3 linked regions of the Stegostoma tigrinum genome follow. The protein of the gene in region 1 binds, or shares a complex with, the protein of each later gene. Links are inferred from orthologs where the notes say so. Each region holds a gene or a part of one and is shown on either strand. Other genes may lie near its edges. The genes, in order: taf7, taf11 and taf8.

Region 1 (3,753 bases):
ATATTGGATCTTCAAAATTAATATTAATTCACCCCTGTAAGGTATTGTGATCACAGCTACAAGCACTCATAAGTTAGTCATTCTTAAATTGGGGACTGCCTGTATTGCTAAGCAATAGCTGCTTGATTAAACTGTCAATAACCTCTTCCATCAACTTGCTGGTGTTTGAAATTAGTCTCATGGGGTTGCTAGGGTTTGTTGCCTCTGTGTACAGGACATACCTGGCCAATTTTCCACATTGTCCAGTACACAGCAGTGTTATAGTTGTCTTGGAATAACTTGGTGAACTCAGTGACAAGTTCTGGAGCACAAGTTTTCAGTGCTGTTACTGAAATGTTGTCAGTGTTCACTTCTTCAAAATAGGTTCATGGTTCTTTAGCATTCATCTAAGACAGTAGATAGAACCTTGGTTTAATATGTCATCTGAAGGGCAGCATTCCTGAGAGTGCAGCATCAGTCAGAATTGCATTATGTGTTAGCCAGGGTTGCATGCTCAAGTGTCCGGAATAGTGAGTGTGTTCTTCCCTAGACCATGGTTCAACTTTTTCACAATAAAGTTACACATCAGGTAACTGTAAATAAGTAAAATTATGATCTCATACCATTTGAAAACCAATCTTCAACTCTACAGTGACATTTTTTGGATAAAACTGAAAGGAAAACATTTCAATTGTGCAAAACAAAAACAAATAGATCAGAAACTTTGCAAGAGGAGTTTCAATGTAAACAATATATCTCACCAGAACTACTGACTGTCAATTTGACAGGCTTTGGACAATGCCCAGGAATAGGGGATTCTGAGCCAGGAGGCCTGGATTCAAGTTCCACCTGTTTGAAAATTGTGCCATAATATCTCTGAACAGGTTAATTAGAAAATATCAATAAGTTAAATCTGTGTGTAATGCAATGTCACATCACCTACCCGTGGTAAAGAGGAAGCCATTGGTCCTGGCAGTGGATAGATTTTGTAAGCAGTATCTTAGGAACTCTAAGAGGAAGGGTCAATATCTGACCAGCTAAGAGCTTGAAGCGAAACTGACAGGCAGCACCTCCATGCCCTCACAGACCCAATAGAAACTGTGCTGCCACTGTCTCTCTGCTAACCCCACCCACCTCTACAGGCTCACTGTCAAACCCTCTCTCTCCTCATTAGCCGTCGACCAAACTCTCCCTTTTTCATTAACCCTTACCCGCTCACTAACACTCCTTCCAGTCTCTCCCGCCCACTCTAACTCTCACCTTCGCTGCATTTACCCACCTCCCTCTCCGCTCCGCCCTAACTTCCGTTTCCGGTCCGTCACTTGACCACTTCCCTCCTCACCCCCTAACAACGCACGCACACGCTCCGGAACCATCCTCTCCACCGAATGCAGCAGGAATAGTCTTCCCCATCGCCCACGGAGTTGTCGGAACTTGGCTGGGCCTGTCCCTGGGAGAAGGTTTCCGAGGTTGAGGGCAGTGCTGTGTACCAGGAGACGAGAATCAAGTCCGGGCTGCTCTATGCCTCCTCCCCTCCAACGGGCTGTGACCTTTGGACACTCCCTGTCTCTTGTGATCCTGAGCCTTGGGCACTGCGGCCGATGGATTGACGGACGGGCCTGAGGAATATGGATAAAAAAGGCTCCGTGTCCTGGAAGAAGATGACAGGTGAGGAAGTTCAACCTGTGGTCCTGGCCGCCTCCTGTTTCTGTCACCCCAGGCCAGCCCCCACAAACGCTGCACAAGTCTGGTTAAATCAGGGGATGAGATAGTAGGAATTGCAGATGCTGAAGAATTTGAGATAACAAGGGGTAGCTCGACACCGGAAATAGTTTGTTTAGGCTAAACTGTGTAGCACTAACTTCATGTAGAGACATATCACTAGCTTACCGACAAGGTTGATGCCTATGGCATAAAAGGGACCAAGGCAGCGGTCACTCAGTGCAGTGGTGAACCTTTGTCAGTCTGAAGATCAAAATTGTACTTCCCCGAAGTTACTATTATGACTGTCACTTTATCTATATTAATGACCCTAGACTTGGGTGTCCAAGATGCAATATCACAAGTTCTTCTTATATTTATTCACGAGATGTGATCTTCACCACTGGAAACCTCTTGGTTGAACAGTGAGAAAAATAGCAGTCTGGTGGAATAGGCAGACATATAGCAGAAGGAAGTTGATTCAGACAAATGCAAAGAGGAACAACTTGGAATGAAGAATGTGGAAATGTAATGCAAAATAAAGTGTGCAATTCTAAGAGATTGCAGAAGCAAAGAGACCTGAGGGGGCATATGCACACAGATCATTAAATGTGGCACAGCACCTTAAAACTCTGGCTGAAAAAGCACAATGGGCTTTATAAATTGAGGCTTGGAGTGCAAAAGCATAGATATTATGACACCTTTTTAAAAAAAAGTCTGCCCTCAATTGGAGTTTTATGCCCAGTCTGAGTACCAAAATCCAGGAAGGATGAGAAAATTTTTGACAGGACTCAGAAAAGATTTAGAATTGAAGAATGGTCATAGCATAGAAGAAGGCAATCCAACCTATTGTTTCTGTGATGACTCTCTCCAGGATCAACTTGGTCCCACTAACCTGCCTGTTCCCTACAGCTATGCAAATTTCAGACAAATATCCAGTTCTGTCTTGACACCGTAATTGAAACTGCCTCCTGCACTCTTGGACATCCCTGCTCCTAACCACTTGCTGCAAAATAAATTCCCTGCATTGGGATCGTTTGGAGTGCTGATTGTCATCCGGTTCTTGACTATTCCACTAATGGGAAGTAGTTCACTGATTCTGTTCTGTCCAGATTCCCCATGATTTGCTCTTAGACTTATTGAGCTGTACAGCATGGAAACACAGCCTTCCGTCCAACTCATAGCAGATATCCTAAATAAATCTAGTCCCATTTGCTAGTGTTATCCCATGTCCCTCTAAACCTTTCCTATTCATACACTCATCCAGAAGCCTTTTAAATGTTGTAATTGTACCATCCTCCTCCACTTCCTCTGGCAGCTCATTCCGTACTTGCATGATCCTCTGTGAAAAATTTCCCCCTTAGGTCCCTTTGAAATCTTTTCCCTTTCACCTTATACCTATGTCCTCTAGCTTTGGACTCCCCCGCTCTGGGAAATGGTCTTGGCTATTCACCCTATCCATGCCCCTCATGATTTTATACACCTCTATAAGGTCACCCCTCAGCCTCTGATGCTCCAGAGAAAATAGTGTCAGCCTATTCAACCTTTCCCTGTAGCTTAAGCACTCCAACCCTGGCAGCATCCTTGTAAATCATTTCTGAGACACTAAATCCTTCCTATAGCAAGGAGACCAGAATTGCACACAGTCTTTAAAAAGTGGCCTGATCAACATCCTGTACAGCTGTGACCTGATCTCCCAACTCCTATACTCAATGCACTGACCTATAAAGGGATACATACCAAATACCTCCTTGGCTATCCTGTCTGGCTATGACTCCAATTTCAAGGAACTATACACCTACTCTCCAAAGTCTCTTTGTTTAGCTGTACTCCCATGGATCTTACCATCAAGTGTATACGTCCTGCCCTAATTTGCCTTTCCAAAATGCCCCACCTCATATTTATTTAAATTAAACTCCATCTGCCACTCCTTGGCTCTTTGGCTCACTCAGCCAAGGTCTCATTCTATTCTGAGGCTACCTCCTTTGCTGTCCACTACACATCCAATTTTGGTGACATCTGCAAATTTACGAACATGCATTTCTCCTGAGTTCACATCCAAATCATTTATGT
Region 2 (3,753 bases), on another chromosome or scaffold:
GACAAAAATCTTGTCTTTGCCTTAGTAGCTGTGCTTCACGGATTTAATTCATCATCAAAATGATTGTATGTTCTTTGCAAGTAGCCAACCTTGAAACAACTGTGCAACTAAAATATAACAAAGATTCATTACGAAAGGATGGTGTGGTGTTTTTGTATGTTATAAGGCGTTGTTACATGTGATCCATGTTTCCCATTTAAAGTTTTCTGATTCACCATTCCTATAAAGGATCAAATTAATTCCTAAGTCTCTTTTAGATGACACAATTTTCAAGTAAAAGTGATTAGCAAACCTGTTTATGATTACAAGTGTGCCTTACTCTCCGTTTGGAGATACCGGTATCAGGAAACCTGCTGTCGTGCTATGTCACATTTATCTGTCTTGTGATAGCCACAATCGCTTGTTTGCCATTTTACAGTCACATGCATCATCCAGCGACGGCCCCCTGAGTCAATCTTTTTCCTCTAGAAGCGACCTCCGTGGTTTTTCAGCCCTGGCCATAATTGTACATTTTCTTGTCTGGAATCTGTTTTTGAGTGTTCTTTCTACTTATGCTTTACGATGCTATCAGAGACTGATACGATTCAGAGATCCGAACACCCAGCATTAAACTGACAGAACCATCAGGTTTCACATTTTTAAACAAATACAAAAACTTTATTGTATATAAAAATATTAAACAATGCAAGCGCCACGGCTTTTGGGGACTTATGCTTTAAACTCAGTTCTGCATTTTACTACCCGCCAGAGCTCCTTATCTTAAAATCTTTGAAGGTACGTTCTCCTTCCCTCATCAGCAATACGCAACGTGCAAATGTTCCACTTGACCAGCAGCTTCAGAGCAACAAAACGAAAGCGACAGACCTTCCTTGACCAATCTTAGTGGTCTAACGAACACTGACGGAGGTGGAGATGTGAATTAACAGCATTGAACCACAATAACAGACTATAAAGAAAACTAATATTGTTTTTTCTATACTGGAAGTGGAGATATACCTCAAGCTAAGGATGTAGTGCCCGCAAACACTACTCAATGAAGGTTTAAAACGTTTCAAGCTACAGAAACATTAAATTATTAAGATATATTGTCAAGCAAATTACTGCAAACCTTGAAATAAAAACTCACAACCAGTCTGATGTTCATTGAAATTAAAGGTTATAACTGCTTTCCCGTCCCGGTATTTGCAACATACAGTATTTTATTTTTATTTCAGTCCAAGCAATGTGTGTTTTTTGTGACTACAACCCATTCTTAAACAGAAATGCAAATTTCTGAGACAGGAGCTGGAGATCTCAACATCCAGGAGGAGCCACAAAGCCCTAACATTGCAGCCAGAGGAAGGAGCTGAACTCGGGGATCAGTCGGGCTGAGCGGCCGCGGTAGCTTCAGGCCTGGGACATCTTTCTCGAACGCAGACCCGAGATCAGCCGGAGAATCTGAGATAACAAGGTGCGGAGATGGATGAACACATCAGGCCCAGCAGCAAAAAGGTCTAGACCCGGGATCAGCCGCAGTTTTGAATTCGCGATCTCCGTGCGGTTTGTGCCTCACCGGGATCCGTCAGCAGGTCACCCGGGGCCAGATCCATGGATTTGGAGCAGGAGGCGAAGTTTAAAGCGGCCGCGGTACCGGCCGAGCCGCCTAAGGCCGGAGAAGTGGTGGAGGCTGAGGTTTTACCCCCGGACGGTACGGCTGAGCAGCCGGGGCCCAGTGGTGCAGAGACGGCAGTGGTGGCGGCGGCGGCAGTAGTGAAGGAGAAAGAAGAGGCGACGGCGGCAGGGGAAGCCGCGGGTGGGAGACAGGCCCAAACGGACCAGAAGCCGGCGGCGCCCCGGGAAGGCGGTGCCGAGGAAGAGGAGGACGATGAGGATGGAGATGCTGTCCACCAGGCTAAGAGGCTGCGGGTGGAGCCGGCCAGAGACAAAAAGGACAAGAAGCAGAAGGTGGACGAGGACGAAATCCAGAAGATGCAGTGAGTTGTGGGGCTCTAGCTACAGGATTTCTACCCCCGGCGATGAACTGTCCCCGTGTCCAATTACAACATTTAAAAGGCACCTGGATGGTATATGAATGGGAAAGGTTAACTGGGGTATGGGCAAAATGTTGGCAAATGGGACCAGATTTATATAGGATGTCTGCTCGGTGTGGACGAGTTGGACTGGAGAGTCAGTTTTCATGGTTTAAAATCGAAATATTTGCATCAAAGAAGAGAAATGTTGCAAATTCTGAGTACAGTAGTTGCTTAGTGACTGGGAGGATTAAAATAAATTAGTATTAACCTCCAACAAAACCACATCAAAATGTTGGCGATCTCAGCACATTAGGTAACATACATAGAAGGAAAGCAAGCTATAGTTTTGAGTGGAGATGACTTCATCAGAGTTGCTTTCAGTACAGATTCAAGTTTCTGCCGTAATTTGCTCCCGCATCAAAATGTTCACCTCACTTTCGATATTTGCTCGGATTATTGCTGACATGATCTAACATAAAGTTTTGAGGGGTAACAACAGTTGCTCAGCTCCTGCAGAGTTCTATGCATATTTCCAGTTGACCACCAACTATTCTACCCTCTCCCCCAAAAGATCCCACCATCAAACATTATTTCCACAGACATCACTAACTTCACTTCACTCAGGGAATCGCGCTTTCCTCCTGCCTGCTGACCCAAACAATTTCCTGTCTCAGTTCCCCAAACTCAGCCCACTTCTGTCTTCGACCCAGAATTCACAAACGGAGCTGCCCCGGTAATAGATAACAAAGCGTGAAGCTGGATGAACACAGCAGGCCAAGCAGCATCTCAGGAGCACAAAAGCTGCCGTTTCAGATGAAGGGTCTAGGCCCGAAACGTCAGCTTTTGTGCTCCTGAGATGCTGCTTGGCCTGCTGTGTTCATCCAGCTTCACACTTTGTTATCTTGGATTCTCCAGCATCTGCAGTTCCCATTATGTCTGCCCAGGTAATAGCATCATTTCACCCTCTTCCTGCGCCACGAAACACATTTCATCATTTTTTGACTTAATTTTTTTCTCTCTCCCTTTGGCCAGACCACTCCTACTTATATTCACAATTCTTCTGACACTTTGTTCATTTCAAAATTTCCAGTTTGCTGGCACCAGGTGCCTCCTCTTGACTGTGGACATCCAATCCCTCGTTAAGATGGTCTGAAGATTTCTCCTTCTTCATTGAGAGTAACCCTGAACTCTTCTTATCCATTACCACTCTCCTCAACTCATCCTCACTTTGGACAACTTCTCCATTACCTCTTCTCACTTTCTTCAGGCCAGAGGTCGGCCATGCATACCCACATGAGCACCAGTTATGTTTGTCTCAGTGTTTGTTCTAGTCCTACTTTGGTCCTTCCCCACAACCCTTTCTCCAGTACATTGATGACAGTCTCAGGGCTCTTCCCTTTCTCATCTGGAAGGGAAAAATTTATCAAACTTCTTTACAACTTGCATCCTGTTCTCATCCTCCCCTTCTTCTACATCTGTTTCCATTTCCATTTCCAGCTGGTCACTAATATCCATTACAAACCCAGTGATTCCCTCAGTTACCTTGACTACCTGCCCCCTCACTCCACTTCCTTTGAGGACTCCATCCCATTCTCAGTTTCTTTGTGTCTGACTCATCTGTTCTGATGATGCCACCTTTTGCAGCGGGGGCCTTGGAATGTCCATCATTTTCCTCAACCAGTGATTGGCCATCACTCGACTTGGCAGGATTCTCAGCCATGTCTGATCTACCTTCTACACT
Region 3 (3,753 bases), on another chromosome or scaffold:
CTCGTGGGCCACCATGGTTCCTAGTGGTCTCAGGAGTCTTATTGTCAGTTCTGATATGCTCTTGATATATGCAGTGTGGCCCTGTAAATGCTGCTGTCACCTGTGGTGCAGTTGGAAGCACTCTTGACTCTAAGTCAAAAGTGTCTGGGTTTAAGTCTTCGTCTAGGACTCAAGGGTCAAAATAAAAATTGCCACTCCTGAGGTGGTATGTGAAGTAGCTCCACAAAGGCTGGTATCCTGTCACCAAGTCAGCCTTTATTTACACATGCATAGTACATAACACTGACCCAGCTAGCTTAGAACTGTCTCCTAGAGTGAACAGAATCGCTGACACTCCTGTCAGCCAGGGCCCTCTGGTCAGACCAGGTTAACAGCCCCAGTCAGGGAACTCTTATTCTATAATGCCCACTTGGTTGATCTCATTCCAGCCACTACAATAAGAACTGTCGGAAGGTGTTATCTTACTGGTTAAATGTTGAGCTGATACCTGTGCCTTCCCATTCAAATTGCCTGGTGTCCTTTATTCCCTATGGGACTTATGAACAGAGGAAGGCCATTTGGCCCTTTGCATATATTCTGCCATTCAAACAAATTATGGCTAATCTGATATAACAAAGTGTGGAGCTGGATGAACACAGCAGGCCAAGCAGCATCTCAGGAGCACAAAAGCTGACGTTCTGGGCATAGATGATAAAGGACAGAAATGGTAAGTGTCTAGGCCCGAAATGTCAGTTTTTGTGCTCCTAAGATGCTGCTTGGCCTGCAGTGTTCATCCAGCTCCACACTTTGTTATCTCGGATTCTCCAGTATCTGCAGTTCCCATTATCTGTATGGCTAATCTGGTAATCCTCAACTCAATTTTCCTGCCTTGTGACCATAACCCCTGATGCCCTTAATGATAAGAAATCTATCTCCTTGAATATAATTGACAGCCCTCTGTGGCAAAGGATGCCACACATTCACAGCCCTCTGAGAGAGAGAACAAAAAAAAATTAAGGTAGGAACTACATTTCAAAAGCATTCCATGCGGCTGGGAGACGTTCGGTGAAGGATACATGTAGGTGTAAGGATGTGTTTCAGTTTAAGGCACCGATGCGAGCGATGTGTCAGGCTGGGAGCACCAGGCTGCAGTCCCCGCTCAGCCAGCGCAGGGGGCAGTACAGGCAGCGACGAGCAGGAGCGGAAGCGGGTCGGCGGAGCTGAGCTGAGGTGACGAGCTGCATCATTTTTCATCCCGATAGCGTGCGACTCTTTCGGATCTAAAATCTCCGGCCGCACTGAAAACAAGCGTAATTGTGAAGTCTGCTTGCGTTTAGGCACCGGATGGTTTTATTTTCCTGAAGCAAGGAAATCAAATCTTAATTTACTTTAAGCCGGTGTCCAGCCAGGAGTCTCTCGAGTGTACAGGCCTGAACCAGAAATAAATGTCCCAGTTTTATAAAGTTACATACAGCTTAACGCACTCATGAAATTTAAAATTTAGTAAGGAAGTAATTTATTCGTCGATGTCGGCTGCCTTTTTTTGAATGCAGCAAAATATTTTGCTTAAAAAAAGTCTTCCAAATGCGATTATTTACAGTTTAAATGTCTGAGGCACTAAAAGTGAGTATACGTTAGATAAATGCCTTTTAAAATTGCATGAATTAGAGTTTTTCTTGCTCCACGTAAATGTGAAATGGTTTATGATCAATGGCTGTAAATTCGATCTGTCTGCTAATTTAAAAGGAGAGCTTGTAATGCAGTGGGTGGTGTCCCTGCCTCTGAGCCAGAAGCTATTTGATGGCCAAGGAAGATGCATTCATAATGTAGCCAAACTGCAAAATCTGGTTCCACACAGTAGTGGAAGAGATTTCTGGGCAGCAGTAAGATGGAACAAAGAGTGAAGCCTTTACCCATCACAGTATGTAGCTTCAGAACACTATCTGCATGTAAAATAACATGTTTCCACACAACTTAGACTCCATTGAGTTGTAATAGAAGCCATCCTGCGAAGTGATGAATGGTTTCACTTCTTCTGTGCTGACTGTTTCAATCCTTGTTTTTCTGTAGCTTTTTTTAAAGGAAAGGTGAAAATGGCAGATTAACTAATAATATATTATATTAAGAGCATGAAAAAAGCATATTCAGTAGATAATGTGACAGTCAACACATATCCGATGTAACAAAATATTTTTCAAAACTTTAATTGTGGTGCGAAGGGAGAGCATTTCGGACAAGCGAATACAGCATTTCTGGATATCGAGAATGATAATGGATGAGGAAAAGTACTTGGAAAGAAAATCACCTACTTGAAGGGTTTACCTGATGCACTTGACTCTCAGCTAGCCCTATGTACTTGCATCACTGCCACAAAGTGGGATCCAGGAAGGATGTGGTTTTTCAGATCGTTAGTACCTTGCCACAGACATATCCACTGGATGTAAGGAGCATGTGGTTGGATTTTCAGGTGCATTGGGCATCAATTAGGCAATATTTTCACTGCCTCAACACTGGTATTGTAAAATGATTTTACAAGGTTAACTAGCTCAAAGCAAGTAACAATTTTCATATAGCCAATATATGCCGGTGCAGTGGCCCTGTAATTCAGCCTTAAAATAAAAGAAAAAAAAATCTCCTATCAGCACCATTCCGCTACCCTCCCTTGCCACTCCCCTCTTTATCTGCAGCTCCCTGTACCCCACATCCAGTCCTGAAGAAGGGTAATACCCAAAACGTTGACTTCCCTCCAGATACTGCCTGGCTTCCTGTGTTCTTTCAGCCTCCTGTTTGTCAGTGCTGTAATTAGGTTGTGTAATTAGTAGTTAAAAGTACAGAGAATCAATTCAATTTACTATACTGAAGTGCCATTCTATATTATATACTGAAGGTAGGCTTGAACAATAATCTGTCACCTGTAATTGAACAAACAACAATGTAACAAATCCTGATGGCAACTCAAGATGGGAAACAAATGCTGGCCTTACCAGCAGGCTCTATATTCCCATGAAATAGTAAAATAAGTGTTCTGAGTTTTAAGAGAGATGTTTTTTGTTTTCTTCGACCGCCCGTCATGCTTCTCATGGGTAGCTGGTAATTGTTTCAAATTATTGAATGCATAGAGGGCTAAATGCTAACAACAAGCCTACATAGTAGAATTAGGATCTTGGAACACCTTAATGTATTTCCATAATAATTTAATTCTTATTTTGTATGCAGCATCTCTGCTAGTGAACTTCGCACTCACCGGTTGATGACAAAGTACATGCTCCTTCATTGCTCTTATAATGGATGATAGCAATTTTTTCAATATTTAATTCTTTTTGAAGACTAGAGAAGGTGGAAGAACCTTGTTGCTAGGCAGATATGAAACCCATTTGGCATTTTAGTGGCTTTGTGGGAAGATTAATTTTTTTTCTGGTTTCTTTTGCTTTTTCTTGAGTTTGTGATTTCTTTATATTTTTGAAATATGTGGTGTCTTGCAGCTTTTCTCCATTTAAATGTTCAAAGACGTTGAGATGCATTCTGGTTTTTGCTGGTTTTTCATTTTGGGTGGGTGTGAATGATCCACTTAGCTCCCGTTTGTAAGAGTTTCTTTCATTCAAAGTATTGCTGCTGGCTGCATTGAGTGAAAAGACCAATATGTAATGTTCTTCTGTTCCTGTAGGCCTTGCTTTTACACGATGCAAACATGCTTTTGTCAATCTAAACTGATGTATTGCATATGTAAAAATGAAAGTTCAGGTGTTGTTTGAAATATCAGTTTATTGATTGTTA

The links.
Region 2: taf7 (region 1) and taf11 share a complex: the UniProt entries of both Homo sapiens proteins name them as parts of the TFIID basal transcription factor complex. The link is inferred for Stegostoma tigrinum from reciprocal best matches to the Homo sapiens genes TAF7 and TAF11.
Region 3: taf7 (region 1) and taf8 share a complex: the UniProt entries of both Homo sapiens proteins name them as parts of the TFIID basal transcription factor complex. The link is inferred for Stegostoma tigrinum from reciprocal best matches to the Homo sapiens genes TAF7 and TAF8.

The regions. Positions count from the first base shown.
Region 1 is NC_081368.1:72,088,432-72,092,184, forward strand, and holds the start of taf7 (transcription initiation factor TFIID subunit 7), read left to right. Parts: upstream 1-1,292; 5' UTR 1,293-1,607; coding exon 1,608-1,647; intron 1,648-3,753. Other genes in the region: zgc:101583 (magnesium transporter NIPA2), read right to left, coding at 923-943. UniProt on the Homo sapiens protein: The TFIID basal transcription factor complex plays a major role in the initiation of RNA polymerase II (Pol II)-dependent transcription.
Region 2 is NC_081374.1:38,050,141-38,053,893, forward strand, and holds the start of taf11 (transcription initiation factor TFIID subunit 11), read left to right. Parts: upstream 1-1,316; 5' UTR 1,317-1,587; coding exon 1,588-1,973; intron 1,974-3,753. UniProt on the Homo sapiens protein: The TFIID basal transcription factor complex plays a major role in the initiation of RNA polymerase II (Pol II)-dependent transcription.
Region 3 is NC_081374.1:14,878,725-14,882,477, forward strand, and holds the start of taf8 (transcription initiation factor TFIID subunit 8), read left to right. Parts: upstream 1-1,146; 5' UTR 1,147-1,209; exon of another isoform or gene 1,210-1,602; intron 1,603-3,753. UniProt on the Homo sapiens protein: The TFIID basal transcription factor complex plays a major role in the initiation of RNA polymerase II (Pol II)-dependent transcription.